Anolis sagrei: one gene and its partners. Each later gene encodes a partner of the first gene's protein in a complex. Links are inferred from orthologs where the notes say so. Each region holds a gene or a part of one and is shown in the gene's direction. Other genes may lie near its edges. The genes, in order: RBL1, TFDP2, E2F4 and PPP2R2A.

Region 1 (7,964 bases):
CAATCTTCCAGTGTAAACACATCCCTGTATGCTCCATTATTGCTTATAAGTTTGTCAGTAATAAGCACCCTGTAGGCTCGTCCAGATAGGTAATTCAGGTTAACATGAGAGGCACATATCAACTTAAATCCTTGGTGATATAAGGTTTCCTCAATCACATTTTACACACCACACAATTATAACGCTTTGATACCGCTTTGCAGCAAGTTCATGCTATGGAATTCTGGAATGGGTTTCGTTATTTTGAATTGCATGTGACTGTATACTTCTTACACAGGAGTGTAAGCAACTGAGTAATTACCAGCTACTTTCTGTACTAATATTTATTGTGTCAGCGAATAGAGAATACAGTTATAATGTATAAAAAAACACAAAGTTTTTTGTTGTTCATTCGTTCAGTCGTCTCCGACTCTTCGTGACCTCATAGACCAGCCCACGCCAGAGCTCCCTGTCGGCCGTCACCACCCCCAGCTCCTTCAAGGTCAGTCCAGTCACTTCAAGGATGCCATCCATCCATCTTGTCCTTGGTCGGCCCCTCTTCCTTTTGCCTTCCACTTTCCCCAGCATAATTGTCTTCTCTAGGCTTTGCTGTCTCCTCATGATGTGGCCAAAGTACTTCAACTTTGTCTCTAGTATCCTTCCCTCCAATGAGCAGTCGGGCTTTATTTCCTGGAGGATGGACTGGTTGGATCTTCTCGCAGTCCAAGGCACTCTCAGCACTTTCCTCCAGCACCACAGCTCAAAAGCATCGATCTTCCTTCGCTCAGCCTTCCCTAAGGTCCAACTCTCACATCCGTAGGTTACTACAGAGAATACCATGGCTTTGACTAGGCGGATCTTTGTTGCCAGTCTGATGTCTCTACTCTTTACTATTTTATCAAGATTGGACATTGCTCTCCTCCCAAGAAGTAAGCGTCTTCTGATTTCCTGGCCACAGTCTGCATCTGCAGTAATATTTGCGCCTAGAAATACAAAGTCTGTCATGGCCTCCACGTTTTCTCCCTCTATTTCCCAATTGTCAATCATTCTTGTTGCCATAATCTTGGTTTTTTTTTATGTTTAGCTGCAACCCAAACAACAAAGTTTAAAACTTGGCATTATACTAAATTTCCTTTGACAGGAAGCTAGCCACTTGGAGTGCCACTAGTGTTGCAGTAAGCAGGTCCTCCAATGTGCATGTGGCAGGGATCAAACTGCATGGTAGTAAGAGGTCTGTAGTTTGCTCTTCACACTTGCAGGTTGTGGACTCTGCTTTGTAGCCCTATTTCTTAAGGTTGGCTCTGCATCTTGTGGTCCCAGAGTGCATTCAGTGCCTTCCAAGCCAACCAGTTTTTTGTGTGCTTCGGAGGAGGTTTCTAAACCAGTATCAGCCATTGATTGACTTCCGGGTTTAACCTGCCACTTTTGGACTCTTGCTTGTTGAGGCATTTCTGCGACTATCTCTGTAGATCTTAGAAAGCTATTTCTTGATTTAAGATGTTGGCATGCTGGCTGATAATCTGTACAGAGGATGGGCCGGAGATGTCAATGCCTTGGTCCTTTCATTACCAGCTGCTACTTTCTGAAGGATATCATGTGATGCAGTACCGGCTAAACAGTTATTTACTTACTTAGGCGATCCCTTGTTGTCCGAGTAGGATAATCCTCCCGGGTGGGTCCATAGGTGACTATGGAGCCCTGTTCTTGATCTGCATCATCTCCCGCAGTGAGGGCATTGGTTTCCAGGTGGAAGGTGGTCCCGGTCGGGGTTGGCTTGACGCGCCTTCCTCTTGGCATGTTTCTCTCTTTCGCCCTCCATTCATGCCTCTTCAAATTCTGCAGCAGTGCTGGTCACAGCTAACACAGCTGACCACAGTTGAGCACGGCTAAACAGTAGACAAGAGAGATTTATATATCTGTGGAAAGTCCAGGGTGAAGAAAAGAACTGATCTATTGGATGCAGGTGTGAATTTTGCAATTAAGCACCTTGATTAGCATTGTAAAACCTTGCATCTTCAAGGCCTAGCTGATTGCTTGGGAGAATTTTATTTATGTATTTATTTACAGTGTTTATATTCCACCCTTCTCACCTTGCAGGGGATTCAGGGCGGATTACAATGTACATACACATGGCAAATATTCAATGCCATAGACACACAACATATATACAGACAGAGGCTATTTAACATTCCAGGTTTTCATGAGGGTATTCTAGCCACCAGGGGAGCTGTCCCTTCACAGACCATTTTGTGACACTGATGAAGTACTTCCTCATTCTTTGCATGCTTGCTGGAGATTTTTATGGCCTCGTAAATTAGTTAAATTTGCCTCCCCACATAAGCAGTACTTAAATTTCCTACTTGACAGATGCAACTGTCTTTCGGGCTGCAAAGGTCAACAGCAAGCCACACAAAATTGGTCGGAAGCTCACTCCGACCCAAGCTGGCTTTGAACTCATGACTTTTTGGTCAGTAATGATCTTAATGCAGCTGATTCCCAGCTAGCTGCGCCACAGTCCTGGTGCACCCTTTGTTGGGAGGTGTTAGCTGGCTCTGATTGTTTCGTGTCTGGAATTCCCCTGTTTTCAGAGTGTTTTTCTTTATTTACTATCCTGGTTTTAGTTTGACTTAACACCTCCCAACAAAGGATGCCCCCAGGCAGAAATCGGCCAGGTCATGAAGATGCAAGGCTTTTTAATGCCAATCAAGGTTTGTTTGTTTTGTCGTGTCAGGAGCTACTTGAGAAACTGCAAGTCGCTTCTGGTGTAAGAGAATTGGCCATCTGCAAGGACGTTGCCCAGGGGACGCCCAGATGATTTGATGTTTTTATCATCCTTGTGGGAGGCTTCTCTCATGTCCCTGCATGAGGAGTTGGAGTTGATAGAGGGAGCTCATCCGCGCTCTCCCCGGATTTAAACCTGCGACCTGTCGGTCTTTAGTCCTGCCAGCATGGGTTTAACCGGGATTGTGGCGCAGCTGGCTGAGTGACAGCTGCATTAAGATCACTCTGACCAAAAGGTCATAAGTTCGAAGCCAGCCCAGGTCGGAGTGGGTTTCCAACCAATTGTGTGTAGCCTGTTGTCAACCTTTGCAATCCGAAAGACAGTTGCATCTGTCAAGTAGGAAAATTAGGTACCACCTTAAAGTGTGGGGAGGCTAAATTAACTGATTTATGAGGCCATAAAGAAGACTCCAGCAAAGTATTCCAGCGGGGAAGCATGCGGGGAACGCGGAAGTGCTTCATCAGCGTCGCAGATGGACGATGAAAGCGACAGCTCCCCTGGCAGCCAGAAAAAGTTAAATAGCCTCTGTATATGTTTGTATGTCAAACATTGGCATTGGATGTTTGCCATATATGTGTACACTGCCATATATGCCATATATGTGTGAGTCCCCTGTGGGGTGAGAAGGGCGGAATATAAAAGCTGTAAATAAATAAATAAATAAATTGACACACTGCGCCACCGGGGGCTCCAAGCCAGGCTTGATGATGCAAGGCTTTTTAATGCCAATCAAGGTGATTGATTGCAACATTCACACCTGCCTCCAACAGATGAAGAGTTTTTTCGCCCAACCTGGACCTTCCAGATATATATACCTTCCCTTGCTTCGTTGCCAATATACCTCACAACCTTTGAGGATGCCTGTCATAGATGGAGGCGAAACGTCAGGAGAGAGTGCTTCTGGAATATGGCCAACCAGTCCGGAAATCTCACCGCAGCCCATTGTACTAATGTACTTTATCTACATTAGTCTGTTGTCCCTCCAAAAAAACACGAGGATAGCCCACATTTTATTAAGTTTCCAACCCTTCAACACCATCCCTAGAGACTAGGCTTGGGCAATCCATGGTTCTAAATGGTTCTAAAGTACTTACAAAACTAAAGTTCTGGTGATGAAAATTTCAAAACTCTAACAAAACTCTCAAAATTTCATTATAAATGGCAGTTCCTAATTGGTTCTGTCATAAAAATCGCCAATAATGAAATAAGAATTACATTTTGAAAGTTTTGTTAGAGTTCTGAAATTTTCACCACCAGAACTTTAGTTTTGTAAGTACTTTAGAACCATTTAGAACCATGGGTTGCCCAAGCCTACTAGAGACTATTTTGGAGCATGCTGCATAGAACTCAGCTCAGAGCGGAAGAGGAGGAGCTCAGGGTAGGCCCCGCCCCCGGTGATGACGCGCAGTCCCTTTTCCCGCGTTTGGCGCAAAGGCCTGTGGGGCATGGCTTGGGCTGAGTGGAGGAGCCGTGAGGGGATGCTCGGCCGCCATGCCGCGGGGAGGAGGAGGCCCGGGCCCCGCTGTGCCATGCCCCGCCCGTGCCGCCCTCGCCCACCTCTGCCAGGAACTCAACCTGGACGCCGGCAGCGCCGCCGAGGCCCTTCGGGACTTCTCCGCGCTGAGGGGCACCTACAGCCTCGAGGTTCGCTCGGCCTGCCTCTGTCAAGGCCTCACCGGGCCTAGCGCCTCATCACTGTCTCTGTCTCAAGCTTCGGCCCGCCCTCCAGGTGTTTTGGACTTCAACTCCCACCATTTCTAACAGCCTCAGGCCCTTTCCTTTCCCCCCTCAGCCGCTTAAGCGGCTGAGGGGGGAAAGGAAGGGGCCTGAGGCTGTTAGGAATGGTGGGAGTTGAAGTCCAAAACACCTGGAGGGCCGAATTTGACTCTCTTTGAATATTATCAAATTATGTCTTTATTTGGTACTAGCCGTCCCCTGCCACGTGTTGCTGTGACCCAGTCAGCTGATCTAGAAAATAAAGTAATTAGAAAGAGTTGGTTTCTAATACACTATAGTCTTCCCCTGCCACGCATTGTTGTGGCCCACATGGGGTTTCTGTGTGGAAGGTTTGGCCCAATTCTGTCATGGGTGGGGTTCAGAATGCTCTGTGATTGTAGGTGAACTATTAAATCCCAGCAACTACAACTCCCAAATGTCAAGATATATTTTCCCCAAATTCCATCTGTGTTCATATTTGGACATATCGAATATCCGTGCCAAGTTTGGTCCAGATTCATCATTGAGTCCACAGTGATCTCTGGATGTAGGTGAACTACAACTCCAAAGCCAAAGGACTTTGCCCACTAAACCCATCCAGTATTTTATGTTGGTCATGGGAGTTCTGTGTACCAAGTTTGATTCAATTCCATCATTGGTGGGGTTCAGAATGCTCTTTGATTGTAGGTGAACTATAAATCCCAGCAGCTACAACTCCCAAATTACAAAATCAATTTTTTTGAGTGAAGGACATACATTGGGTTGTTAGGTGTCTTGTGTCCAAATTTGGGGTCAATTCATCCAGTGGTTTTTGAGTTCTGTTAATCCCACAAACGAACATTACATTTTTATTTATATAGATTTAATTTCTTTATGCTTATGGGTCAACAGTATTTCTTGCCGTTTCTTTGTCCGTGTTGATGTGGAGAGTGTCTGGCTTGCCCACTCTGGAACATGCAACATATAATTGTCCTAATTTAGGAGTCCCTTTCAAATCTATGATACTATATCTGTGTGTGCGTGTGAATCATAGATATCTATATCTATGGCTGGATGGGTCTTTGTCAGGATGGCTTTGATTACGTTTTCTTGCCCTGGTGAAGGGAGTTGGACTGGATGGCCTTAAGTATGGGGGTTCTGTGTGGAAAGTTTGCCCCAATTCTGTCGTTGGCGGGGTTCAGCAAGCTCTAAATCCCAGTAAGCACAACTCCCAAATGTCAACATATATTTTCCCCAAATTCTATCTGTGTTCATATTTGGGTATATGGAATATTCGTGCCAAGTTTGGTCCAGATCCATCATTGTTTGAGTCCACAGTGCTCTCTGAATGTAGGTGAACTACAACTCCCAAACTCAAGGTCAATGCCCACCAAACCCTTCTAGTGTTTTCTGTTGGTCGTGGGAGTTTTGTGTGCCACATTTGGTTCAGTTCCATCATTGGTGGAGTTCAGAATGCTCTTTGATTGTAAATCCCAGCAACTACAACTCCCAAATGACAAAATCAGGGTTTTTTTGAGTGATGGTCACTCCTTGGGTTAGTTGGTGTCTTGTGGCCAAATTTGGCGGCAATTAGTCCAGTGGTTTTTGAGTTCTGTTAATCCCACAAACAAACATTACATTTTTATTTATTTAGATTTGAGATTTCAACGTCGTTCTCTGTAAACCGATAATGTGCTTTAGATCATATTTACATCCACTTTGTTGATTTGGATATTTTTTTAAAAATTCAGGCAGGTTTTTCAAGAAGGAGGTTTCTACGTTCATGTCAGGGAATGCTGTGGTTTTATATGTTTATGGATTTAAGGTGGCTGTGATTGTGCAGCAGGTCAAATTAAAATTATGTTGTATATCATAATTTAAACTATTTTAAACAACATCACTCATCATACTTCCAATGCATTTACACTACTCAGACTCTTTTATTATGTTAAATGTGTATGATGAGATGTATTTATGATAAAATGGTTATTATTTAAGTTTATCAGTTTATTGATTATTATTTTTGTTGATCTGTTTTGCTTGTTTGATATGGCATTGAATGTGTGCCATTTTTGTTCTGGAAACTGCCCTGAATCCCCCTGGGGAGATAGGACGGGTTACAAATAAAAATTATTATTATTATATGCCAACCTAGGAGTTTGAAAACATGCAAATGTGAGTAGATCAATAGGTACAGCTCCGGCAGGAAGGTAACAGTACTCCATGCAGTCATGCCGGCCACATGACCTTGGAGGTGTCAATGGACAGTACTGGCTCTTCGGCTTAGAAATGGAGATGAGCACCCCCACCCTCCGAATCGGACTCAACTGACATGTCAAGAGGAAACCTTTACTTTTATGGATTTAATCTGAATTGTTTTTAATATGAATAATGTATAATTCTGTTTTAATATTTGTATATTTTAAATTGTGTGCTGATGTTTTTATGTATGGAGTCCCCTGCAGGAGAGATAAATAGGGGTATAAATATATAATAATAATAATAATAATAATAATAATAATAATAATAATAATTTTCCCTTGGGTTTTGTTGGTGTTTACTGTGGTGTGTAACAAATCTTAAATTAGCACATCATAAGGTAACATAATAAGAAGAACCTTTATTTTTAACTCGCCCTCTCTCCCTGAAGAGACTCAGAGTGTGTTACATAAACAAAATGAAACGACAAACATTCAGTACCGTGTGCAATAATAAAATGAAGATATTTAAACGATTAAAGCAGGTTGAACGACTTAGGCTAAAAGCATATAAATCGATCCAACAAGTATCGTAACTAATAGAATTAAGCCGTTAAAATCTGTATAAAATATATAGCTCTTCGATAAAATAGCAGTCATTGTTGTTGACAACTTCGTCCACTAGAATGGAGTTGATGTATGTTATTCCTCCTCTCAATAAGCTAATGAACAGAAATAGGTTTGTAGTTGTTTCTTGGGGGAGAGGGAGAGGGGGTTGTTTTAATTTCTTTCGAAAGGGAGTTCCAGAGGGATAAGAGTGATCACAGAGAAGGCCCTCTCTCATTCCCACCAGTTGTGCTTGAGGTGGGTGGGATTGAGAGGAGGGCTCCCTCCACTGATTGCAGGGTCCAAACAGATTTGTAGACAGGGATGCGGGTTGCCAAATACTCTGGGCCTGAACATATCCTAAGAAGAAGCTTTTGATGGTAATCATTGGGAAAGCTGTCTTTAGAAGAAGGTGTTTGGATGTTTTTGAACCTGCGACCTTTCGGTCAGCAAGCTCAGCAGTTCAGCAGCTTAACCCACTGAGCCACTGGAAGCTCCAGTGTTGACTTTGCTTAAGTCCAAAATCATTGTTTTGGAAAATGTTTGTATATGAAAAGAAATATATAAGAAAAAAAGGAAGTGAGATTTTAACCTATACATTCAAATCTGCAAAAGTTAAATCCACAAACGTGAAGGGTCAACTGTATTTTTTCTAAAACATTTTGCAGATATTGTCACATGTAGAGTTTAAATGGTAGAATACG
Region 2 (7,877 bases), on another chromosome or scaffold:
AACCAGGAAGGACATGGTCCAGTAGTGGCATCACTAAGGTTGGTGTCACCCAGTAGGTCACTTGTGGTGTCACTCCTTGGACCTCAGTCATATGCTGGGGGAAAAAAAATCTTTACAAGACACTTAAAAAACAGAATTACTCGTTTGACAACATAATCTTAAATGGGCTTACTAAGATGTTTGCACAATCAAGGGGATCCAAGCCCTATCGGATAAGTACTTTTTGTCCCTGTTATTGTTGAAGAGCTGCTACATCCATCTCTAAATGAAAAATTGTCTGAAACCAGTCTGAAATAATATATCCGTATGTGTGTGTGTGTACGTTGGCCACCAATAGATTCTTAGTGTCACATGTTATATTTAATTTTTTTTAGGTCTCTGAAGTACACTGGAACTGCTCTCTTCCATAGAAGAGAGGTCACAGCAGCACAGTTACATAGGGATGGAAGGACCAACTGAATTCCTCCACAAATCAGAGGGCAGCTCTAATCACATGAGATTAGGCAGTCCCGTTGGCCCCCCAATATGTGACAGGGGGAGATGCCAATTACATATAAGCAGGTTAACACCCTGTCCCTCCTTTGCTTGACCAATCCTTCTGCCCTCACTGCATAATGGGCCGGATAGGAAACCCCTTCCCCTTTAGCAAGGGTTTTTTCACCTACCTGCACTGCATCTTGATGGAATGGGAAAATGGGCTTTGGGTGGTGTCCTAAATAAGTCTATCCCTCTCAATGCAGATAATGATTTGTGGGGGGAAATTTAGTTGGTACCTTGGCACCTCTCTCCTTTTTGGTTGTAGGATTACCCCTGGAATGACCTCACTAGGTTCTGAGACTTGTGGGAAGGCTGGGAAAGAGATCACTCTTAGGGTTGGCTGGGACAACAACAACTTACTCTCCATTATAAAAACACATGCTTTAAGGAAAGGGATCCTGGGCTGGCCTTCCAGAATATGAACCGATAAGGGCATCCTATTGGACTGTCCCTCGAGATGAGGAAGTTGTCACAGAAGTGATACCTGTCCCTCGGCCGAGACTCACATCAAGTTGCTCTCCACCTTATAGAATAATCTCCAGAACAAATAAACTGAAAAGTTTAGGTTCATGAAATCGCCTTATTTCAGTCCAACTTTTGTGCTTGGGCCCTGTTATTTAGCTGTTGGTATTCAGTTACCACTTCCGCTCACCCAAATAAATGCACCAATTTTGATATAATTGAAAGTTGGGGATCATTTTTTCTTGTGCATCAGTCAAGCCAGGTCTTTTCCACTGTTCCATATTTTATCTCAAAATCCCAAGAACTAATATGTTTATGGATAGAAAACTTTTGGGGAAATTGTACTTTATTTGGAATTTTTGTCACAGTACATTCAGTTTTAAAAGTGCTTGTTCCTTTGAAAGTGAGAAGGACTGTATCAGAAATAGTAAAGGAAGCTCCTGTTGCACTTGCAGGGTTTTTAAAAAAATCATATTAGCATCACTACTTTGCATGATGACCAAAGTAGTACAGTATCCAAAGATATTAATGTTCTCCCACTTTTCATTCCTCCACCCCCACAGTGCTTGAAAATATTTTGAGAAACAAAGAATGTAAACCCACTCACATTTGGTATTGAGGGCATTTTTCAAAAGCATTGATTTTGTGTCTAGATGTGTATGTATGTGCAACTTCATGCATTACCACAGGGTTTTCTTAGGGAAGGAATAACCTGAGGTGGTTTTCCAATTCCTTCCTCTGAAATAGAGCATATGCACACTGTATTTATTGGCAGTTTCTCACCCAAGTACTAATCAGTGGTGACCCTAGTTAGCTTCTAAGATCAGACAGATCCGGTGTCTTTAGATACCAACTCTTAAAAATGGCATAGCTCTGCATTTGATTTGTTATGTCTCTCACCAGCTCAAGTTTCCTTTGAATGGCTACAAAGGCTGATGTGTTGCTGATGCAGTAAGAGGCATTCTTCTTTAGACAAGAGGAAAGACCAGTTTGGGTTTTCTTTGCAATGTAAGTATTTTACAAAACAGAATTGAGACCTTTTACTTCCAACAGCTTAGAACAGAATATAATAAGAGTGTAATGTTTGCAAAATATATTGTTCCTGTAATGTTGTTTATGAAAAAACTGTAGTATACTTGGGACAGGAGCAGGGATGAAGTTACTCTAATTAGTCACATGAATAGGAGTTCCAAATTGAACTACATCTACTGTTTTCCTTTCCAGATAGCTTAGGGTGTTAGTTTTGAATGAAAGGTACTGACTGTGGCTCCATGAAGGGAAAATAAAACAAAATAGTTAAAGCCAGAATTTTAGAGCTGACAAAGCATTTTGTCACATAAAATCACTAATTCAGAGGGAAACAAGAAAAAAGCATTACTAGCAATCAGTATGTGCAGAAGAAACAGTTTACTGGATGGTGTTGAGCATCTTAATTCTGGGGTTTTTTCCTTGGCTATTTGTGATTTGAAAATGTTGGTTCTGTCCTAGGAGCTTGGTTACTGTTGGCTCATAAACACAGCAGAGCATTCCATTACCTTATGGGTTATTATGATTCAGTGTGGGTGGCACCATTTGATGCTTGAATCATTTCGGCTGCAACTGCCATTAAGCTGGCTTACTTTTATGGGCAAGAAAATAACCTTTCCTTTTACTGTTCAGAAATGTACATTTGGTCTAATGTGCACTTACAGGAAGCAAGCCAAGTGTGCTTAGATCCATAAAGTATTTACTTGATTCATGAATTAAATGCATTTCTGATACAAAGTTTATGTAAGTTGTTGCAAATATAAGTTCTTAAATTAAAGGGTATTTCTCATATATTCTTTTTTTAAATTTAAAGATGCCATAGCTAATTGCAACATTTTATTCAGTTTGATAAGCTACCATAGGATGTCAAATGGTCAAAAAAATCAAGCCTTATCAGTTAAACAAGTCTCTGGGGGGAGAAAGGCGGGATTAAAATGAAGTAAATAATAACAATTAATAAAATACATTATTTTTATTTTAAAGTAGTAAATATCCTGAACAGCAGAGTTCTTGTACTAAATAAGTTAACTAAATTGTTTCCAAGTAACACTTCACTTTTTAATTTTTAATTGGACCCAGTATCAAAGCTTTCACTGGAGCATTCATTTGGACACATGGACAGATGCTTCCCGTAACCACAAAGATGGAATGAAACTTGTTCTAAAGCAGTGACTTTTGCTACTGATGTTCAGTTGTATTTTTATCTTAGATGAGCTGGAGATTGTCAAGCAAAATGTATTGTACTGCTAGTTTTTGCCCTGACAACACTTAGTGGGGATGGTTGATTTATTTTGTGTGTGTGTGTGTGTGAAAGGGAAGGAGTTCAGGCACCACTCCTACCTATGCTAATGAAGTACGTGATGCAGCAATACAAAAGGTGTCCCTCAGGAAATTTGAACAGGCAGTTCCCACTAAAAGAAATTTAACCAGATTTCACAAAGTTATATAATGTATAATAAATAAGCCTCCTGTTGTTGCTTTATGACAGCCACTTACTCCGAAAAAGGCTGCTGATCAGAGTTAAAATAAAAATGCTAACTGAAAATGCTGTATCACATCACTGTGTCTATAAGCATTGAGCATATCAATTTTTAAAAGCAGAAAAGCTGACACAAGAATTGAATGTGTGTTCCTCAATTCCAGGGAGTGGACTAGATGGCCCTTGTGGTCTTGTAACATATGTGGCTAAAAAACAGTGCCTAAGATTCTCATGGGGGGGTGGGGGGGAGAGACCTACTGATGTTTGCATATGGTAAATCAAAAATCACTATAAATCAACCATCACCACCAAAAAGTTGGAACACTTTAGTTCTAAAGAACTCACAGTGTAATTTGGGGAGGGGGTTGGAGGATTAAAAGTTTAATTCTGAGGGACACACAGTCTTTCCAACAAGGCGATCTTTCTAATAGAAATACATAGTGATCCAGTTGTGCTTGACCAAAAAAAACCCCATTTAAATCTACTGGCTTGATACCTTGACACTGTGTGGCTTTAATGTTAGAGGAATACCATTCTTACATTCAATACCATGCTCTGAATTCCAAACCTAGGCCCTGCGAATTGGGTAACTGCGACTAGATTCTATTTATCACTCGCATTTCAACAGACATTACTGAGAAAGTAGAAGCCAAAATCTACATGCAATGTTTCAAATCACTGAATTAAATCTACTTCAGACAGTTTCTACCTGATAACTTGGGTTTTTTTCAATGCCAAATCACTTTTCCTGAGTCCTAGAAAGAAGGAAAACTGAGATGTAGTAAGGAAAATTGAGATATAAATTAAATAAATAATTTGTTTCTTATTTGCTGTGATGGTCTCCTGAATAATATAGCTACTGGTATATCTAGAAGACAAAATATTTGTATAGTGGTTATGTGGTTATGAGTATAAGGAAATAAGGTTCACGTTTTGCTTTTTTTTAGAAAATACATTCCTGCCAGTGTCTACCATCGACTAAGATTTTGTCCAAAACATTATCATCAGTAAATTTAAATGTCAGACCCCAAATGGTAAGTACTGTTGCCCTTTAACAGCTTTTAATTAGTAGAACTATACAGAATAGCAGTTCTGTATTCACAGCTACAAATGTTCAGACACCTTTTCATAGGTTTCTTCATTATGGAAAGATATTGATGGACTTGTGTATTTTCTGGGGATAAATAATTGCCATATATTAATGTGTTGTGCTGCATGCCAGTACATAAGGGCTTCTGAAGCAAACATCAGAATTGGTACTTTATGAAATACACATTTCTCAATATGCTCTATAAAAAATTTATTTCAAATCACCAGTACAAGTACTGTTCCAAATACATGCAATTTTGTAATAGAACTGCTTTGTGCAGCTGTACTAATTGGTTAAACTAAGAAACAGTTGCACAATGTTTCCTGTTTTCCTCCTGCAATAGCTTCTTTGCTTAGCATCAACACATTCCCACTGTATACTTGATTTTTGTTAAAAATCACATTTCTGATAAATGCAGGTAATTGGTTTGTATCCAACAGTAGTAGAAGAACAAAATAATAATACACAGATATTTTACCATGCCTATTTTATCCAGTTAACACTTATTCTATATGTTACACAAGAGAGCCATAAAAAGATGTATGTGCACACTGATTTTTGATCTAGTAGCAGAAAAAAAACTTTATTTTTGTAATGGAAACAACTGTCCTCTACCATTTTTAGCATGCGCACGCGCACACACACCCTTGCATTTTGCATCCATAGATTTAGCCAACCATGGCTCAAAAATATTGAGAAAAAATCCCCAAAACAAACTTTATTTTTTGCCACCAGGCATTAACAGTGATGTGTAGCCATACCTTGCTGTAGCCTCCTGCCATTTCACATATCTTCAGGCTGGTACATGTTTGAGTTCTTCATCATTTTATATAAGGATACATAGTGTATATACTGTTATATACCAAAGTCTGTGGATGCTCAAGTCCCATTATATACAATGGAATACAGAGTACTTCAAAATAACGGCCCCAATTTCAAAACAGCGCAGTTCACAATGGCAACATGTTACAATTACGCAAACAGTTACCAACAGTTTAAAGAGTAATCAAGTTATCAAGATTTACTGACCATTTTATAAAAACACTATGCGCCCTCCACCTGCTTTATGGACAATATTGGGACAATAGTGGAACACAAAATGCCTTATGACTGAGGCTATGCTCTGTTTGTATACTGGGAGAGTAATCTTGCAGTAATAATTTGAAAAACTATACCTTTCAAGTGGTAAGAGTTTCATTCATGAGCAGCTTGCGTTTATAGTGATAGTGATTTCAAATTGGGTCCGTCAAGTCCATCCTGTATAATGGGACTTGAGCATCCACAGGTTTTGGTATAAACGGGGCTGGGATGGGATGGGGGGCTTCTGGAGCCAAATCTCATTGATTGCCCCTTGTAGCAGTCTTTGGGTACATGATGTAACCACCTAAATGAATTCCAATGTAGAAATATTTTATAACATAAATTAAATAAATATAATTATATCCAAAGTTATTGTTTACGATGCAGGGTCTTGTATGTAGTCCAACAGTATGAAGTCTTGATTGAGAGAATGGTCAGGTCTGAATTGCCCCCTTTCTGTGGTTACTCTGATTTTATACAAGTACACTGTGCTTTAAAATATGCTGTGTTCTCTCCTCCCTTCCCTTCCCCAGCACCACCTATGCTTCCTAGACGTATTTCTAGGGTGGCTGAGTGCATCTTTTTCATCCTTGCAATGCCTAGTTGGGGTTAAAATTGGATCTGCAGTAAAAAATATTCTCGGATCACCCCAACAACTGTCCCTTCTCTCAGTCCAACCACCATCCCAGGCACGATTGGAGAGGATGCCAGAGAGGGCCTTTTCAGTGGCTGCCCCTGGAACCTTCTCCTTAGTGAAGCCAGAATAGCACCCTCCCTGTTGTCCTTTCAGCAGCAGGCTAACATCTTTTCATTCCTGCAAACTTTTAAAGAAGAAAGCTTTTAAGTACGAGCCGGGAGATGCTGTGTGGTCATTTAAGTATTTTAATAGTTTTTAATAATTTTGTGTGCATTTAACTATTTATTTATTTATTTATTAAATTTATTTCTATCCTGCTTTATCTCCCCCCAAGGGTACTCAAAGCAGCTTAACATAAAAGCATCTGCAAAACCATTTAAAATATACAGATATGCGAACATTAAAACAGGATTAAATATAAACAGTATTTTTAAATTCCCAGTTAAAAACTATTAAAATAAATTCAAAGTTAAAAACCACAGCACCCCTGAATTGATCTTAAAAACCTTCATATTTAAAAGCCTTCCTGAATAAAAAGGTTTTAGTCTACTGCCAGAAGGACAGCAGGGTTCTCTGGGGAGGGGTTTCCAGAGTCAAGGGGTAGCCACGGAAAAGGTCCACTCTCTTGTACCCACCAATCATGCTTGAGATGGAGGTGGGACCAAGAGAAGGGCCTCTCCTGAAGATTTCAGGGCTCAGGCAGGTTCATACAAGGAGATGCGATCAGCCCAATAGCCTGGATCTGAACTGTCTAGAGCTTTAAAGGTCATAACCAGCACTTTGAATTGTTCCCGGAAACAGACTGGTAGCCAGTGAAGCTGCTGCAATGGGTGGGGGGGGGGGTTGTCTGCTCCCTGTAGCCAGCCTCAGTTAGCAGCCTGGCTGCAGCTCTATGGACCAGCTGAAGTTTCCGAGCACTCTTCAGAGGCACTGCCACGTAGAGCATGTTACAGTAATCCAGGCAGGATGTAACTAAGGCATGTACCACTGTGGCCAGATCTGGCTTTTCAAAGAATGAGTACAGTTGGTGCACAAGTTTTAATTGTGCAAACACCCTCGTAGCCACCACTGATACCAAAGTCTTCAGGTTGAATGCTGAATCCAGGAGGACCCCCAAACTGCAAACGTGTGTCTTTAGGGAAATGGTAACCCATCCAGCACAGGCTGAATCCCTATTTCTTGGTCTGCCTTTCGACTGACCAGGAGTACTTCTATCTTGTCTGAAGTAAGTTTCAATTTGTTTGCCCTCATCCAGTCCATTACTGATAGCAGGCATTGGTTTAGGGTCAGGACAGCTTCCTTGGCATTAGGTGAAAGGAGTAGTAGAGTTGGGTGGCATCTGCATATAGGCCACACCGTACTCCAAAACTCCAGATGACCTCTCCCAGCAGTTTCATGTATATGTTAAACAGCATGGGGGACAAAACGGAACCCTGAGGAACCCCACAGAGCAACGGCCATGGGTCCCCCAGCACCACCTTCTGGGTACGGCCCTCTAAGAAGGACCAGAGCCACTGTAAGCCCCCCACTCCCATCCCGGTGAGACAACCCAGAAGGATACCATG
Region 3 (7,915 bases), on another chromosome or scaffold:
CCAAAACTCAAGGCCAATGCCCACCAAACCCCTCCAGTGTGTTCTGTTGGTCATGGGGAGTTCTGTGTGCCAAGTTTGGTTCAATTCCATCATTGGTGGAGTTCAGAATGCTCTTTGATTGTAGGTGAACTATAAATCCCAACAACTACAACTCCCAAATGTCAAGGTCTATTTCCCTTAAACTCCATCTGTGTTCATATTTGGGCATATGGAATATTCGTGCCAAGTTTGGTCCAGATCCATCATTGTTTGCATATTGAGTATCTGTGTAGAGTTTGGTCCAGATCCATCATTGTTTGAGTCCACAGTGGTCTCTGGATGTAGATGAACTACAACTCCCAAACTCAAGGTCAATGCCCACCAAACCCTTCCAGTGTGTTCTGTTGGTCATGGGAGCCCTGTGTGCTAAGTTTGGTTGAATTCCATCATTGGTGGAGTTCAGAATGCTCTTTGATTGTAGGTAAACTATAAATCCCAGCAACAACAATTCCCAAATGACAAAATCAATGTTTTTGAGTGAAGGACATGCATTGGGTTGTTAGGTGTCTTGTGTCCAAATTTGGTGTCAATTCGTCCAGTGGTTTTGAGGTTCTGTGAATCCCACAAACGAACATTACATTTTTATTTATATAGATTGTATTCTCTTCCATTTTCAATTCCGTGTCATTTCCTCTTTCCCTTTTCACCTCCCTTTGCAGGGGCTGATGGGAGGAGCCAACAAGTCCCCAGACGGGGCCAAAAGGCTGGACATGGCGGAGGAGGAGGACAAGGAGGAGAAAGAGGCCCGCGCCCCCGCCCGGGAGACGGTCCTCATCACCGGTGGAGCCGGGTACTTTGGCTTCCGGTCAGTGTGCCTAGCGCCAGGCAGTCTCTTCCTGAGGGAGCTCGGGCGACTTTCCTGGGCCCCATCCTCACATTCTGAAACAGCGTCATGTGCTCAGTTGAGACTAGGCATGGGCCAACTTGGGCCCTCCCTTCAAGTCTTTTGGACTTAGGTCCCTGTAGGCTGGACACAAGCTGTAATGTGTCCAGAGAAGGGTGACTAAAATGATCAAGGGTCTGGAGAACAAGCCCTATGAGGAGCGGCTTAAGGAGCTGGGCATGTTTAGCCTGAAGAAGAGAAGGATGAGAGGAGATATGATAGCCATGTATAAATATGTGAGAGGAAGCCACAGGGAGGAGGGAGCAAGCTTGTTTTCTGCTGCCCTGGAGACTAGGACGTGAAACAAAGGCTTCAAACTACAAGAAAGGAGATTCCATCTGAACATGAGGAAGAACTTCCTGACTGTGAGAGCCGTTCAGCAGTGGAACTCTCTGCCCCGGAGTGTGGTGGAGGCTCCTTCTTTGGAAACTTTTAAACAGAGGCTGGATGGCCATCTGTCGGGTGATTTGAATGCAATATTCCTGCTTCTTGGCAGAATGGGGTTGGACTGGATGGCCCATGAGGTGTGCAGTGTGGAATAAATGGAAATAGACACACCTGTTACGTTTTATACCTTGCTGTCAGCCACTTTGACTCTCCAATGGGGGAGAAAAGCAGGATATAAATAAATAAAATGGGTTCTGCATTTGCAGGAGAATCTCCCTGCTTTGATGAAGGGAGAGCCTTGGTCCTGAAGGTGGTTTCCCTCCCTCTTTGTGTTGCAGGCTGGGCTGCTCCCTCTCCTTGAAGGGCGTGGACGTGGTCCTGTTCGACGCATCGGAGTCCCCCCCAGAGCTGCCTGAAGGTGTGCGTTTCGTGCGCGGCGATGTACGCTTCCCCTGCGAGGTGGAGCAAGCACTCCGAGGGGTCACCTGCATCTTCCATGTTGCGTCCTTCGGGATGTCCGGGCGGGAACAGCTCAGCCGGAAGCGCATTGAAGCCGTAAACGTGGGTGGGACACGCAACGTCCTCCGTGCAGCCCGAGAGGCAGGGGTCCCGCGGCTGGTGTATACCAGCACCTACAACGTGGTCTTTGGGGGTCAGGTGGTGCACAGTGGGGACGAGTCCTTGCCCTACCTCCCCTTGCATCTGCACCCCGACCACTACTCCAGGACCAAAGCTCAGGCCGAGATGGAGGTGCTGGGTGCCAACGGGACACCTCTGCGGGGGGCTGGCCGGGGGGTCCTGCATACATGCGCCTTGCGGCCAGCTGGCATCTATGGCCCCGGAGAGCAGAGGCACCTGCCCAGAATTGTCCGTTATGTGGAGCGGGGATGGTTCCGGTTTGTGTATGGAGACCCCAAGAGCCAGGTGGACTTTGTGCACGTGGACAACCTGGTGCAGGCACACATTTTGGCAGCAGAGGCTCTGGGGCCCAGCAAGGCGCACCGGGCAGCTGGACAGGCTTACTTCATTTCCGATGGCCGGCCGGTCAACAACTTTGAGTTTTTCCAGCCACTAGTGGAAGGCCTGGGCTACCCGTTCCCCACGCTCCGCCTCCCCCTCTCGCTGATCTACTTCTTTGCATTCCTGACAGAAATGCTTCACTTGGCAGTGCGGCACCTATACAACTTCCAGCCGCTGCTCACGCGCACTGAGGTCTACAAGACCGGTGTGACCCACTACTTCAGCCCAGAGAAGGCCAAGAGGGAGCTGGGCTATGAGCCTCGGCAGTACAGCCTTGAGGATGCAGTTCAGTGGTTCCGGTCCCATGGCCACGGGCGGAGGGTGGGCAGTAATGCAGCATCAAAGCACTGGCTCTGGTGCACGGCGGTGCTGCTCGCCTTGGCTGTGGCGGTCGTCCTTTCGTGGCTCCCAAGGGCTTAAAGCCTCCAACAGAACGAGGAGATACTAGCATTGATGCTGATTCTTTGATGTCAAGCTACTTTGAGTCCCCTTCAGGGGAGAGAAAGCAGGGTGTAAATAAATATAATAATAATAATAATAATAATAATAATAATAATAATAATAATAATAATAATAACAGCATTGCCCAATCCTGTTGGGTCTTTGCAATGGTGCCAAAATACAAATACAGGCTGAGCGGCGCTCATCCTATTATGACATTGAATGTTTGCCGATATCTGTTGTAAACTACCCTGAGTTCCCTCAGGGAAATATGATGGGATATAAATAAAAATATATATATTGTTCTTGTTACTGTTATTATTATCACCCAGAATTCCAAAATCAGAAATACGGTTGAGCCTCCACGTTTACAGGTTGGTGGTGGATTGGATTAATTCATCAAAATATTTTCCCCAAAAATTGCTTGGTCCTCCTTCCAAGGCAACTCTGTGTTCAATTTCCACTGCGCATTGTCCATAATGTCATGGTGGAGGATCTAGAGATCTATAGGGATCTCTAGGTCAGACCTTTCCAAACATTTCACCTTGCTTCGACGTGTATCATGATGTGATACAGCAATTTAGTTTTACTAACGAACCAGACGTTAAGCTAACCCCCTGTGATACCCTCATATGCATCAGTTGTTGTTTTTTTAAAAGTATTTTTATTGTTTTTCCATAGTTACTACTATGGAAATATGCATCAGTTGTAATCACAAAATGTATGAGGGTGCATGCGTGCGCATATATATACACACATACATACAAACATAAGGTGTGATTTATTGCTTATTTTGCATTAATCCAGAAGCTCCCCATTACATTTGTGCGACAGACATCCCTAAAATCTGCAGGAAAGCAACCAGGCCTATCTGTAATGATCCAAAAAGCTCTAAAATTACAACAGCAAAACAACAGAGGAAAAACAATCAGACCACTTTTATTAGCATTTAATGGCCTGGCAGTGCCTGGGGCAATCTTTTGTTGAGAGGTGATTAGATGTGCCTGATTGTTTTTCCTCTGTTGTTTTGCTGTTGTAATTTTAGAGTAGCCAGATTTTCTTCATTTTCATGGTTTCCTCCTTTCTGTTGAAATTGTCCACATGCTTGTGGATTTCAATGGCCATGAAAGCCTTCGACAATACACTGTGGAATACTTTCACGCATGCGCAGTCCCTGAAAATCCCTCGCGGCTCAGAGGGGACTGCCTGCGAAAAGCGCGGGCGCCCAGCAGGGGTCGCTGCGGGGCTGATGTTCCTCTCGAGGCGAAGGGGCGGGGCCTAGTGGAGAGGGGGCGGGGTGAGGCCTCGTGGAGGGGGCGGGGCCTCGAGCTCCACCTATCCCTCGCCTCCCTTTCTGGCCGCCTCCCATCATGCCCTGCGGTGGCCGGAAGCGGCGGAAGGGTCAGCGCGAGGGGCCGCAGCGGGATCCCGGAAGCGGCGCGGGGCCGGGCGGATGGCGTCGGAGTCGGGGGCCCAGCCGCCGGGGGGAGGCCCGAGCCGGCACGAGAAGAGCCTGGGCCTCCTCACCACCAAGTTCGTGTCTCTGCTGCAGGAGGCCAAGGACGGCGTGCTCGACCTCAAGCTGGTGAGGGGAAGGACGGCGCTGATCAGGCAGATCAGGGCCCAGCAGCGGATGCTCTGGCCCGCTTTCTTTTCCCTCCTTGCGGGTTCCCCCTCTCTCTTGCCTCCCCTTCAGAGGAGGAGGAGGAGACCTTTCCTTGTCCACACAAAGGGCCTGACATAGAATCATAGAATCAAAGAGTTGGAAGAGACCTCGTGGGCCATCCAGTCCAACCCCATTCTGCCAAGAAGCAGGGATATTGCATTCAAATCACCCCTGACAGATGGTTATCCAGCCTCTGTTTAAAAGGTTCGAAGCCTCCACCACACTCCGGGGCAGAGAGTTCCACTGCTGAACGCCTCTCACAGTCAGGAAGTTCTTCCTCATGTTCAGATGGAATCTCCTCTCTTGTAGCTTGAAGCCATTATTCCGCATCCTATTTATTTATTTATTTATTTACTGTGCTTATAGACCGCTGTTCTCAGCCCTGGGGCAACTCACAGTGGTGTACAACATGGAGAGAATAAGGTGCAAATTACAAGAGAAAATCTAATAACAAACTAGCAATATCAAAACATCGTCATCAACAACATCCACAATCTCAATATCAACAATACAAAAATACCAATATCGTTTTCCATTGTTCCATTCCTGTTGTCATTGCCAATTATTACACTTCTTGTTCGAACGCCTTCTCGAACAGCCACGTCTTTAATCTCCAGGGAAGCAGAAAACAAGCTTGCTCCCTCCTCCCTGTGACAGAAGTTCCAGTTTCCCCTCCCCCAGCCCACCCTTGCCTCTCTAGAGGCGCAAGGTAGCAAGACAACACTAGACAATATACCAGACACACTCACCGATTCTGTGATGTATGCTTGCTCCACGTACTGAAGGGCATAACGCTCGGAATTATTCAGGTTCCACCTATAGAATCATAGAATAATAGAGTTGGAAGAGACCCCATGAGCCATCCATGTCCAACCCCTTTCTGCCAGGCAAGAGAAAACAATCAATGGTTGGAGGAAGATTCGGAAGAAGCAGGAAACAAGCTTGCTCCCTCCTCCTCCTCCCTGTGGCTTCCTCTCACATATTTATACATGGCTATCATATCTCCGGTAACAGCGCTCCATGCAGTCATGCCGGCCACATGACCTTGGAGGTGTCTACAGACAACGCTGGCTCTTCAACTTAGAAATGGAGATGAGCACCACACCTCAGAGTCAGACATGACTGGACTTAATGTCAGGGGACTACCTTTACCTTTATCATATCTCCTCTCAGCCTTCTGTTCTTCTGGCTAAACATGCCCAGCTCCTTAAGCCGCTCCTCATAGGGCTTGTTCTCCAGACCCTTGATCATTTGAGTCGCCCTCCTCTGGACACATTCCAGCTTGTCAATATCTCTCTTGAATTGCGGTGCCCAGAATTGGACACAATATTCCAAGTGTGGTCTAACCAAAGCGGAATAGAGGGGTAGCATGACTTCCCTAGATCTTGACACTATGCTCCTATTCATGCAGACCAAAATCCCATTGGCTTTTTTTGCCGCCACATCACATTGTTGGCTCATGTTTAACTTGTTGTCCACGAGGACTCCAAGATCTCTTTCACACGTACTGCTCTCAAGCATCCCTGGCACTCAGGGCCCTTCCACGCAGCCCCATAACCCAGAATATCAAGGCAGAAAATCCCACAATATCTGCTTTGAACTGGGATATTTCTCTCCTTATTTATTTTTTTAAGTTATTATTATTATTATTATCATTATTAACTTTATTTGTACCCCACAAACATCTCCCGAAGGACTCGATGCGGCTTACACAGGCCAAGGCCTCAGTAAAACAACAGCATAACAAATACATAATAAAACTCATAAAGCAACCAAAAACATAAAAGCAGTAACAATAAAAACAATAAAACAATACACCGTGACACATTTAAAAACTAGGGCCAGGCCAAATGTAATGGGTACAGTTAAAAAGTGCTGGATATGACAGGTGAAATGTAAGGATTCTAGGGTAGGTGCAATGTGCAGACAGTCTTAAATCTCTAATAAAGTGCGTTTGGGACATGATGCTGGAACGTTTGGGTTCATATACGGAGATGCGGTCACGCAGGTAGGCAGGTCCCAAACCGTTTAGGGCTTTGTAGGTTAGCACCTGCACCTTGAATTGGGACCGGAAAATGTATGGCAGCCAATGGAGCTCCTTAAAAAGGAGGGTTGACCTCTCTCTGTAAGGAGCACCAGTTAACAACCTGGTCGCCGCCCGTTGGACCAGCTGAAATTTCCGAGCCATTTTCAAGGGCAGCCCCACGTAGTCCAATCTAGAGGTGACCAAGGCATGGTTCTCAACCTGTGGGTCCCTAGATGTTTTGGCCTTGTAACTCCCAGAAATCCTAACAGCCGGTAAATTGGCTGCGATTTCTGGGAGTTGTAGGCCAAAACACTTGGGGACCCACAGGTTGAGAACCTGTGGGTCCCCAAGAATACAAAAATCCCTAAAACAGTGGTTCTCAACCTGTGGGTCCCCAGATGTTTTGACCTTCAACTCCTAGAAATCCTAACAGCCGGTAAACTGGCTAGGATTTCTGGGAGTTGTAGGCCAAAACACTTGGGGGCCCACAGGTTGAGAACCACTGGTCTAGATAAGCTTAGGCCCCTTCCACACAGCTGAATAAAATCCCACAATAACTGCTTTGGATTGGGATATATGGCAGTGTGGGCTCAGATAAACCAGGGCCCTTCCACACAGCCCCGTAACCCAGAGTATCTGCTTTTAACTGTGTGCCCTTTCACACAGCCCTATATCCCAGAATATCAAGGCAGAAAATCTCACATTATCGGAGTGTGGACTCAGATGCACCAGTTCAAAGCAGATATTGTGGGATTTTCTGCCTTGATATTCAGGGATATAGGGCTGTGTGGAAGGACCCTGGGATATCTGGCAGTGTGAGCTCAGATAACCCAGGGCCCTTCCACACAGCCCTATAGCCCAGAATATCCGCTTTGAACTGGGATACAGTATTTGAGTCCACACTGCTATATATTCCAGTTCTAAGCAGATAATGTGGGATTTTATTCAGCTGTGTGGAAGGTACCCTATCTGCAGGTGCCACAGATTTCCAAGCAAAATACAGAACTGCAGCTGTGGTCATGAGCTCCTGAATGGAAAAGAGCAGGTATTCTTAATGTTTAATATTAGTTGGCCTTTGCTTCGCTCTGCTGCAACCCTTTTCTCAGTTGAGGGTGGTTTTGGTGCAATGCAGCAGCCATTTTCTACATGGTTGCTGTGAATTTTCTGGGCTGTATGGCCATCTTCCAGAAGCATTCTCTCCTGATGTTTTGCCCACTAACACCACCCAACAAAAGATTCCCCCAGGCAGAAATCAGCTAGGCCTTGAAGCTGCAAGGCTTTTCAATACTAATCAAGGTGATTAATTGCATCATTCACACTTTCCTCCAACAATCGAGAGTATTTCTCCCATCTTGGACGTCCCACAGATATATAAACCTCCCTTGCTTAGTTTCCAATATACCTCCCAACCTAGGAGGATGCCTGCCATAGCTGTGGGTAAAACATCAAGAGA
Region 4 (8,625 bases), on another chromosome or scaffold:
CCTGGGTTTTTTTTTTACAGAGAGATTGAAAGCTGTGTGGAAATTGCAGCTTGTTGATTTGCAAGGCACTTAATAGCTTTGGCTGCAAAAAGCCAGTTTTAGATTGAGCTGCGTGTGTGAATGGCTGATCTGGGTCCATCATTTCCATGCAGCCTGCGAGTTTTAGATTGGGCTGACCTGGGTCCATCATTTCCATGCAACCTGGGTTATTTTACAGAGAGATTGAAACCTGTGTGGAAATTGCAGCTTGTTGATTTGCGAGATACTTAACAGTTTTGGCTACAAAGACTTAGATTGTATCTTGTTGATTTGCAAGATACTTAACAGCATGTGTGAGTGGCTGATCCAGGTCCATCATTTCCATGCAACATGGGGAGTTTCTTACAGAGAGATTGAAATCTGTGTGGAAATTGCAGCTTGTTGATTTGCACGATACTTAACAGCATGTGTGAGTGGCTGATCCAGGTCCATCATTTCCATGCAACCTGGGGAGTTTCTTGCAGAGGGATTGAAAGCTGTGTGGAAATTGCAGCTTGTTGATTTGCGAGATACTTAACAGTTTTGGCTACAAAGACTTTTAGATTAGGTTGCATGTGTGAATGCCTGACCTGGGTTCATCATTTCCATGCAACCTGGGTTTTTGTTTACAGAGAGATTGAATGCTGTGTGGAAATTTCAGTTTGTTGATTTGCAAGACACTTAATAGCTTTGGCTGCAAAAAGCAAGTTTTAGATTGGGCTGCATGTGTGAATGGCTGACCTGGGTTCATCATTTCCATGCAACCTGTTTCTTACAGAGAGATTGAAAGTTGTGTGGAAATTGCAGCTTGTTGATTTGCCAGACACCATCAGCTTTTGCTGCAAAAAGCGAGTTTTAGATTAACCTGTATGTGTGAATGCCTAACCTGGGTTCAGCATTTCCATGCAACATGGCATATCCTGGAGTATTTCTTACAAAGAGATTGAAAGCTGTTTGGAAATTACAGCTTGTTGATTTGCAAGACACTAATAGGTTTGGCTGCAAAAAGCGAGTTTTACCTTGGGTTGCATGTGTGAATGGCTGACCTGGGTTCATCATTTCCATCATTTCAAATCCTGGAGGGTTTCTTACAGATTAAAACCTGTGTGGAAATTGCAGCTTGTTGATTTGCAAGGCACTAACAGATTTCGCTGCAAAAAGCGAGTTTTTGATTGAGCTGCATGTGTGAATGCCTAACTTGGGTTCAACATTTCCATGCAACATGGCATATCCTGGAGTGTTTCTTACAGAGAGATTGAAAGCTTTGTGGAAATTGCAGCTTGTTGATTTGCAAGACACTAAGAGCTTTGGCTGCAAAAAGCGAGTTTTAGATGTGTGAATGGCTGACCTGGGTCCATCATTTCCATGCAACCTGGGCATGTCTTACAGAGAGATTGAAACCTATGTGGGAATTGCAGCTCGTTGATTTGCAAGACACTCACAACTTTGGCTGCAAAAAGCGAGTTTTAGATTGGGCTGCATGTGTGAATGTCTGACCTGGGTCCATCATTTCCATGCAACCTGGGCATGTCTTACAGAGAGATTGAAACCTATGTGGGAATTGCAGCTCGTTGATTTGCAAGACACTCACAACTTTGGCTGCAAAAAGCGAGTTTTAGATTGGGCTGCATGTGTGAATGGCTGACCTGGGTCCATAATTCCCATGCAATCTGGGGGTTTCTTACAGAGAGATTGAAAGCTGTGTGGAAATTGCAGCTTGTTGATTTGCAAGACACTTGACAGTTTTGGCTGCAAAGTGCGGGTTTTGGATTGGGATGTATGTGTGAATGGCTGACCTGGGTCCATCGTTTCCATGCTGGTGGTTTCTTACAGACAGAATAAAACCTGTGTGGAAATTGCAGCTTGTTGATTTACAAGACATGTAATAGCTTTGGGTGCAAAAAATGAGTTTTAGATTGGGCAGCATGTATGAATGGCTGACCCGGGTTCATCATTTCCATGCAACACAACATCTGGAGGATTTCTCACAGAGAGATTGAGACCTGTGAGGAAATTGCAGCTTGTTGAGCTTGCATGGTTTGAAAATGCAAAAGATCCACCCTTCTGCAAACCCTTCTTCAGTTTCCTCTCTACCTTGCAATCTGTTCACAAACACAAAGATTCAGAATCTGGCAACATGGGCCAGATTGTGTTGAGGTTTGTGTTGAGGTTTGTGTTGAGGTTTGTGTTGAGGTTTGTGTTTGTCTCCAATCTTTCCACCAAGAAAGCTTTGAATGGAGGGAGGTTGTGAGTACTGCCAAAGAAACCCCGCGTTTTCTGCATGAGTTATTTTTCTCCTGCAGGCAAATCCGTCAATGGGATTTGCCTGCATTTATTCAGAGTGGCTTCTTCTGAGGCTGAGAGAGTGTGGCTTACCTAAAATTGTTTTCCACAACTGAATGGAGATTCAGACTCGGCTTTCCCAGTGTCCTTAGTCCAAAACCACCCTAACCGTTTTCCATGAGTGCATCTAAACTGTCAAATTAACACAGTTTGACACCATTGTGACTGCCACAGCCTATTGCTACGAAATCCTGGGAGTTGTAATAATTTTGTGTAGTACTCTGGCAGAGAAAGCTCAGGACGCATTGTCGAAGGCTTTCATGGCTTGAATCACTAGGTTGCTGTGAGTTTTTCGGGCTGTAAGGCCATGTTCCAGAAACATTCTCTCCTGACGTTTCGCCCACATCTATGGCAGGCATCGTCAGAGGTTGTGTTTCTTTTTTTTTTTGTGAAGTTTTTAAAATTTTTATTTATAAATTTATCAAACAAAATGCATAAGCATACATTCTTCCCACTTTTTACAACATCGTAGACAGAAGAGTATGTCATATTATATACAATCTAACAGTAAAAAAGAATCAAAAACATCTTTAAACATATTTCTTATCTTTTTAAAACTTTCCATACACCTTATACTATGTATACCTCTACCACACACCTTTTATCTACTTATACATACTTTATTTCTTTATAATTAGTATTTTGTCATTTTCCCCCTCTTCCCCTTAGTTTCTAATATAATTTCTGTTCTAGTTTTATTTTGCTGTAACATGTTGTCCGGGCTTGGCCCCATGTAAGCCGCTCCGAGTACCCATTGGGGAGATGGTTGGCGGGGTATAAATAAAATTTATTATTATAATATAGTTTCCAATATACTTCACAACCTCTGAGGATGCGTGACATAGATGTGGGTGAAATGTCAGGAGAGAATGCTTCTGGAACATGGCCATAAAGCCTGGAAAACTCACAGCAACCCAAAGCTTAGGACCTTTCAAAATTTTAACTCCCAGTATCCCATTGCAAAGAGCAATGGTAGTCCAAGTGCTGTTGAACTACATTCAGTTTGCAATGTGCTTATTTTTTATTTATTTACGACATTTATATGCCACCCTTCTCACTCCGAAGGGAACTCAGAGCGGCTTACAAGATATATATACATGCAATATATTGTATTATTAGCATAGTACAATATCAATAGTATTGTCGAAGGCTTTCATGGCTGGAATCACTAGGTTCTTGTGGGTTTTTTCGGGCTATAGGGCCATGTTCTAGAGGCATTTCTCCTGATGTTTTGCCTGCATCTATGGCAAGCATCCTCACTACCTCTGAGGATGCTTGCCATAGACGCAGGCGAAACAGGAGAAATGCCTCTAGAACATGGCCCTATAGCCCGAAAAAACCCACAAGAACCTAATATCAATAGTGTAGATGCAATTTATAGTGTAGATCAGGGATCCTCAAACTATGACTTGGGGGCCGGATACAGCCCTCAAAGTTCATTTATCCATCCCTCGCTCAGGGTCAACCTAAGTCTGAAACAACTTGAAAGCACACAACAACAATCCTATCTAATCAACAAAAGCAGGCCCACATTTCCCATTGAAATACTAATAAGTTTATATTTGTTAAAATCGTTCTTCATTTTCATTATTGTATTATTTTTAGTGTTTTTGCACTACAAATAAGATATGTGCTGTGTGCATAGGAATTTATTCATTTTTTTCCAAATTATAATCTGGCCCTCCAAGAGTTTAAGCAAGCCCACATTTCCCATTGAAATACTAATACATTTATATTTGTTAAAATCGTTCTTCATTTTAATTATTGTATTATTTTAAGTGTTTTTACACTACAAATAAGATATGTGCAGTGTGCATAGGAATTTTTTTTCCAAATTATAATCCAGCCCTCCAAGAGTTTGAGCGACTGTGACCTGACCCTCTCTTTAAAAAGTTTGAAGACCCCTGGTGTAGATCAAGCCTTGGCAAACTTTGGGTCTCTGGGTATTTAGGACTGCAGCTCCCACAATTCCTAACAGCTGGTAGTTTGCCCATGCCTGGTATAAATGCAGTCTTAAACCCCCCCCTAAAAAAAAAAGAAGAAAAGAATTTGAAATGTATAGAAAACACACTGTAATCTTCAGGAGGCCTTGTTTACCTCTTCGGCAAGGTTGTTTTGAATCAGTGTATTGAACTATAATTACAAAGTAAAATACCTTTTTTCCAGTTCAGCGTGGTGCCCAAATAGGGAGCAACGTTTTCTTTTCACAAAGTAACAAAGGAAGATGGAAATAGAACACTTGTGGATTGTTTGCGCTTTTCCTGTGCTCTGATGGCTGTGTGGCGATGGAGTGACCACTCTTCCCCTTCTGGCTTGAACTTTTTCTTAAGTTGCTTGATTGTTGCTGTTGTTGTTTTTTTTAAGGAAGGGAGGAACTCCTCCCTCTCTTGCTCCATCCCCTTGGTCAAGATGCCACGGTTACGCAGCTGTTTTCACACACACGCACACACACACATCTTCGTTTTCAGGGGAAATATTCAGGGAAAGCTCCATTTTGATAACTGCCTTTCAGCTTCCTCCACGAGCCTTACCCAATGACTTGCTCCGAATGACATGTCCAAGAAATGGGTGGCGTGTCTTTGGCATGTTTGGGTGGAAGGTTCAAATGATTCACCGCCTTCCTTCTGCCGGGGCAGGAATGTTCTTGAAGCTTTCTCTCCGGTCCATCTTTTACGGTAGTTTCAAGTTTATTTGTAACTGAGGTGACTTCTTCAAGTTTCAGAATTATAGATTTCTTTTATAACAACAATCTTAAGTTTTATTCTTGTTCTACTTTCTGTAAATGGCAGAAATGAAGTTGTCAACAAATTAAAAAAATGTTCCCTTATGCTGCTTCACTCCTGATTCTAGTAACTTAGAAGTAAAGTTCCAAAGTTTGTGTGTGAGAGAAAGTTTGGTTTGTAAGAAGAGCAGTCATGCATTGTGTGTTGTGTATCTTCAGAGTGTGACAGCTTATGAAGTTGAGTAGTTGTGACCTGTCTTTGTAGAGAAACTGATTGCGACTGTGTTCATTTGGACACATCCCTAGTGACAAAAATGTTGTGGGCTGTGTTGAGGGACAATAAGAAGAGCTTGCAAGTAACTTTCTGCTTTGGAAATACTCTTCGCCTTTGTGGGCGTGGTGGGTGCTCCCTTTACATTTCCTATCCTTGCCAACAATCGCTGGGTATCAGACTGGAATGCTAACATTGTGCAGTCAAGCTTAATAACCAGGGTGTTGCCCAGCTTTTATTTAACTTTTGTTTTGTTTCTAGGAGCCGGTGGCGGCGGGAATGACATTCAGTGGTGTTTTTCTCAGGTGAAAGGGGCTGTGGATGATGATGTAGCAGAAGGTAAGAACAAGATCTGATTTAACCTGTTTGTATTATTAACAGCAGTAGGATTCTGGTACTGGTAGTTTATTAGGTATTACTTGAAATTATTGTTTATTGTATTCTCATGTTTTATTTAGTTTACTGTGTTGATTGTTCTGTATTCTGGTTTTATTTTATTGTAATGTTCTGTTGGGCTTGGCCTCATGTAAGCCGCCCCGAGTCCCCATTGGGGAGATGGTGGCGGGGTATAAATAAAGTTTATTATTATTATTTGAAACACAACAAGATGAGTCCACAGCAGACAAGATCACTTTGCTGGCTGTTGTATTGGATTACACATCGGACAATTCCCAAGTGTTTAGGACTGTGTGATGTATCGGTGAATGATGCATGCAGATCCCAGTAAGGTGGCCTTCTGCAGCTGGCAGATGGTAATCTTGTCAGCGCCGATTGTGTTTAAGTGCAGGCCAAGGTCTTTAGGCACTGCACCCAGTGTGCCGATCACCACTAGGACCACCTTGACTGGCTTGTGCCAGAGTCTTTGCAGTTCGATGTTTAAATCCTCATATTGTGTCAGCTTTTCCAGATTATTATTATTATTATTATTATTATTATTGTGTCACCCCAAGTTTGTATTCCTTGTGTCAACAGTAAATTGTGAAAGCTTGAACCTTGCGTCACACAGCAGCTTTTCTATATACAGTCCCTGGGTTTTTACCTCGTTGCTCCATGTGATATCAGGCTACTTAATTATGTGTCTTTAGGTGAGCAATATTATCAGCAGTGAAATTATTTTAGTACTATCCCTTTTATTAAGTATTTCTTGAAATCTCCTTGTTTCACCCAAGTTTTAGTTCCTTATCTCCATATGTGAACAGCAAGTGTTCAGAATATTTATTTATTTATTTACGGCATTTATATGCCGCCCTTCTCACCCTGAAGGGGCTCAGAGCGGCTTAGAATGTATATTTTCATACAATATATTATATTATTAGCATAGTACAATGTCAGTATATATTACTATATATCCTGATAATATCCATCCTTTGACAACGCATCCATCCTCAAATATATTCTAAGAAATTGGATATGTAGTTAGATTAGTCCTTCACAATGTGCTTATCTCTAAAGGTCCTAGATTATGATTCCAACACTCTTATAGCCAGTAACTTGGTACAACTTTCTGATATAGCTGAATAAGCCACCCAGTTTGACACACATGATGCTGAGTGGAAACATCACACAAGTTATGTAAAATTTATTTTTCAGAAGAACTGTTATGTTGTTTTCTTCAAGTTAACCTATATTTAATGCTTCTCCCATCTTTGTATACATTTTCTGAGGAGACTTTAAATTGCAGTACAATTTTTAGCATATGGAGTTAAATGCTTGGTGTAATGTCATGGGAGATGGAGAATACATGATGAGGAGAGGGGCACAACTCAATGTAGGACAGCAGTTTTTAGTGTCATCTGTGCTCCATGTGAAACGGGGAGCATGAGGCCTCCCAGGTGCTGTGATATTTGCATTTAGCTCAAAGATTGAGAAATCCTCCTTATACCATGACTACAACTTCCATCATCTCTCAACATTGCATGTCGTAATCGAGCGGTATCTGCATGATCACAGAGTTGTTGTTTGTGCTCTAAATACATCACACTTGTAGTCGCCAGCTGTGATGAAGACTATCTTTGTTTGCAATTGAACTGGATGTCAGTGCATTTTCCTTTTAGTAAATGAATACAGACACAAATTTTTGCTCTGTACACATTCACTATTGAATGATATGTTTTTCTAGCAAGAAACAGTCAGACAAGTCCAGTGTTGTCTGATCCTTGATAGTATCCTTCAAATCTTGAAAGTCTATCATGCATTTGGAATATAATTACTAGGGGATGCTATGCATACTAGGTAGCCAGGACTTGAGTCATTTTCAGAACTTATTCTAAAAAAACCCTTTGTTTGAGAATTGCTTTGTTTTTGAGAAGCTCTGTGATTCATGCTGCATGCACTGTGTCAAATGGTTATTTTGCATTTGATCCATTGTCTCCTTAAAACAAAATATGTCTAATACTGTATATAAGCCTAGTTTTCAGCCCTTTTTTTAGGCTGAAAAAGCTCCCCTCTGCTTATACTCGAGTCAAGGCTATTTATTCTTTTATTCTGTTATTAGTATTTTTATTTTATGTATTTTATTACATTTACAGTATTTTACTCTATTATTATGATTATTATTACATTTATTATATTTTATTATTATTGCATTTATTACTTTATTATTACATTTACTATTTTACTGTTATTATTGCATTTCCATTACTTTACTTTGTATTATTATTATTATTATTATTATTATTACATTCATTATTTTACTCTGTTATTGTTGGAAGGATACATAAATACATTTATATTGAAGAAGGTTAGAATAATGATTTCATCAGAGTTGGGCAGTCTTATCTCAAATTACAATTTTATGTAAATATTCAACACCATTTTACCTCCTGATGCCTCAGTTAATGTAATTTTATTGTTACCTATTTTTATTTTGAAATTTACCAGTAGCAGCTTCATTTCTCACCCTCGGCTTATACTCGAGTCAATATGTTTCCCCAGTTTTTTGTGATAAAATTAGGTGCCTCGACTTATACTCGAGTATATACGGTAAATTGAAAGAAATAGCTGTGCGTTATGGTTTGGGAACCCATTTGCTTGTAAAGGTGGTCATTGTTAGTTACTAAGAACTGTGTTTCACTGAATCAAAATCCAGCATGGAGATGAGTATTCTCTTCCACATATTTGAAAGCAGTTACATGTAGTTTATGTAACAGGAAGTCATGAATATGTTTGTCCTGCCAACACTCCTTAAAAGAAAACATGCATCCTACTCAAGTCTGTGTTTACTAAGTAGAAAACATTGCTAATTCTGTTGGAATTGCATTCCATTAATCAT

What was found.
Region 2: RBL1 (region 1) and TFDP2 share a complex: the UniProt entries of both Homo sapiens proteins name them as parts of the DREAM complex. The link is inferred for Anolis sagrei from reciprocal best matches to the Homo sapiens genes RBL1 and TFDP2.
Region 3: RBL1 (region 1) and E2F4 share a complex: the UniProt entries of both Homo sapiens proteins name them as parts of the DREAM complex. The link is inferred for Anolis sagrei from reciprocal best matches to the Homo sapiens genes RBL1 and E2F4.
Region 4: the proteins of RBL1 (region 1) and PPP2R2A are in contact, whole or in part, in a cryo-EM structure (PDB 9C6B), measured with the Homo sapiens proteins. The link is inferred for Anolis sagrei from reciprocal best matches to the Homo sapiens genes RBL1 and PPP2R2A. Residues at the interface, in NP_002886.2 of Homo sapiens: Ser615, Pro616, Leu617, Met618, His619, Pro620, Arg621, Val622, Val625, Arg626, Ser629, Leu632; in NP_002708.1 of Homo sapiens: Lys88, Tyr178, His179, Asp197, Leu198, Met222, Glu223, Glu224, Leu225, Thr226, Glu227, Val228, Ser247, Arg278, Ser279, Phe280, Phe281, Ser282, Glu283, Ile284, Ser287, Tyr337, Phe343.

Annotation. Positions count from the first base shown.
Region 1 is NC_090024.1:207,662,995-207,670,958, forward strand, and holds the start of RBL1 (retinoblastoma-like protein 1), read left to right. Parts: upstream 1-4,180; 5' UTR 4,181-4,252; coding exon 4,253-4,405; intron 4,406-7,964. UniProt on the Homo sapiens protein: Key regulator of entry into cell division. Directly involved in heterochromatin formation by maintaining overall chromatin structure and, in particular, that of constitutive heterochromatin by stabilizing histone methylation.
Region 2 is NC_090023.1:236,981,311-236,989,187, reverse strand, and holds the start of TFDP2 (transcription factor Dp-2), read left to right. Parts: upstream 1-4,464; 5' UTR 4,465-4,536; coding exon 4,537-4,539; intron 4,540-7,877. UniProt on the Homo sapiens protein: Can stimulate E2F-dependent transcription.
Region 3 is NC_090028.1:21,144,985-21,152,899, reverse strand, and holds the start of E2F4 (transcription factor E2F4), read left to right. Parts: upstream 1-4,140; 5' UTR 4,141-4,223; coding exon 4,224-4,355; intron 4,356-7,915. Other genes in the region: SDR42E1 (short-chain dehydrogenase/reductase family 42E member 1), read left to right, coding at 705-844, 1,648-2,749. UniProt on the Homo sapiens protein: Transcription activator that binds DNA cooperatively with DP proteins through the E2 recognition site, 5'-TTTC[CG]CGC-3' found in the promoter region of a number of genes whose products are involved in cell cycle regulation or in DNA replication.
Region 4 is NC_090027.1:6,823,254-6,831,878, forward strand, and holds the start of PPP2R2A (serine/threonine-protein phosphatase 2A 55 kDa regulatory subunit B alpha isoform), read left to right. Parts: upstream 1-4,894; 5' UTR 4,895-4,909; coding exon 4,910-5,036; intron 5,037-5,615; coding exon 5,616-5,693; intron 5,694-8,625. UniProt on the Homo sapiens protein: Substrate-recognition subunit of protein phosphatase 2A (PP2A) that plays a key role in cell cycle by controlling mitosis entry and exit. Involved in chromosome clustering during late mitosis by mediating dephosphorylation of MKI67.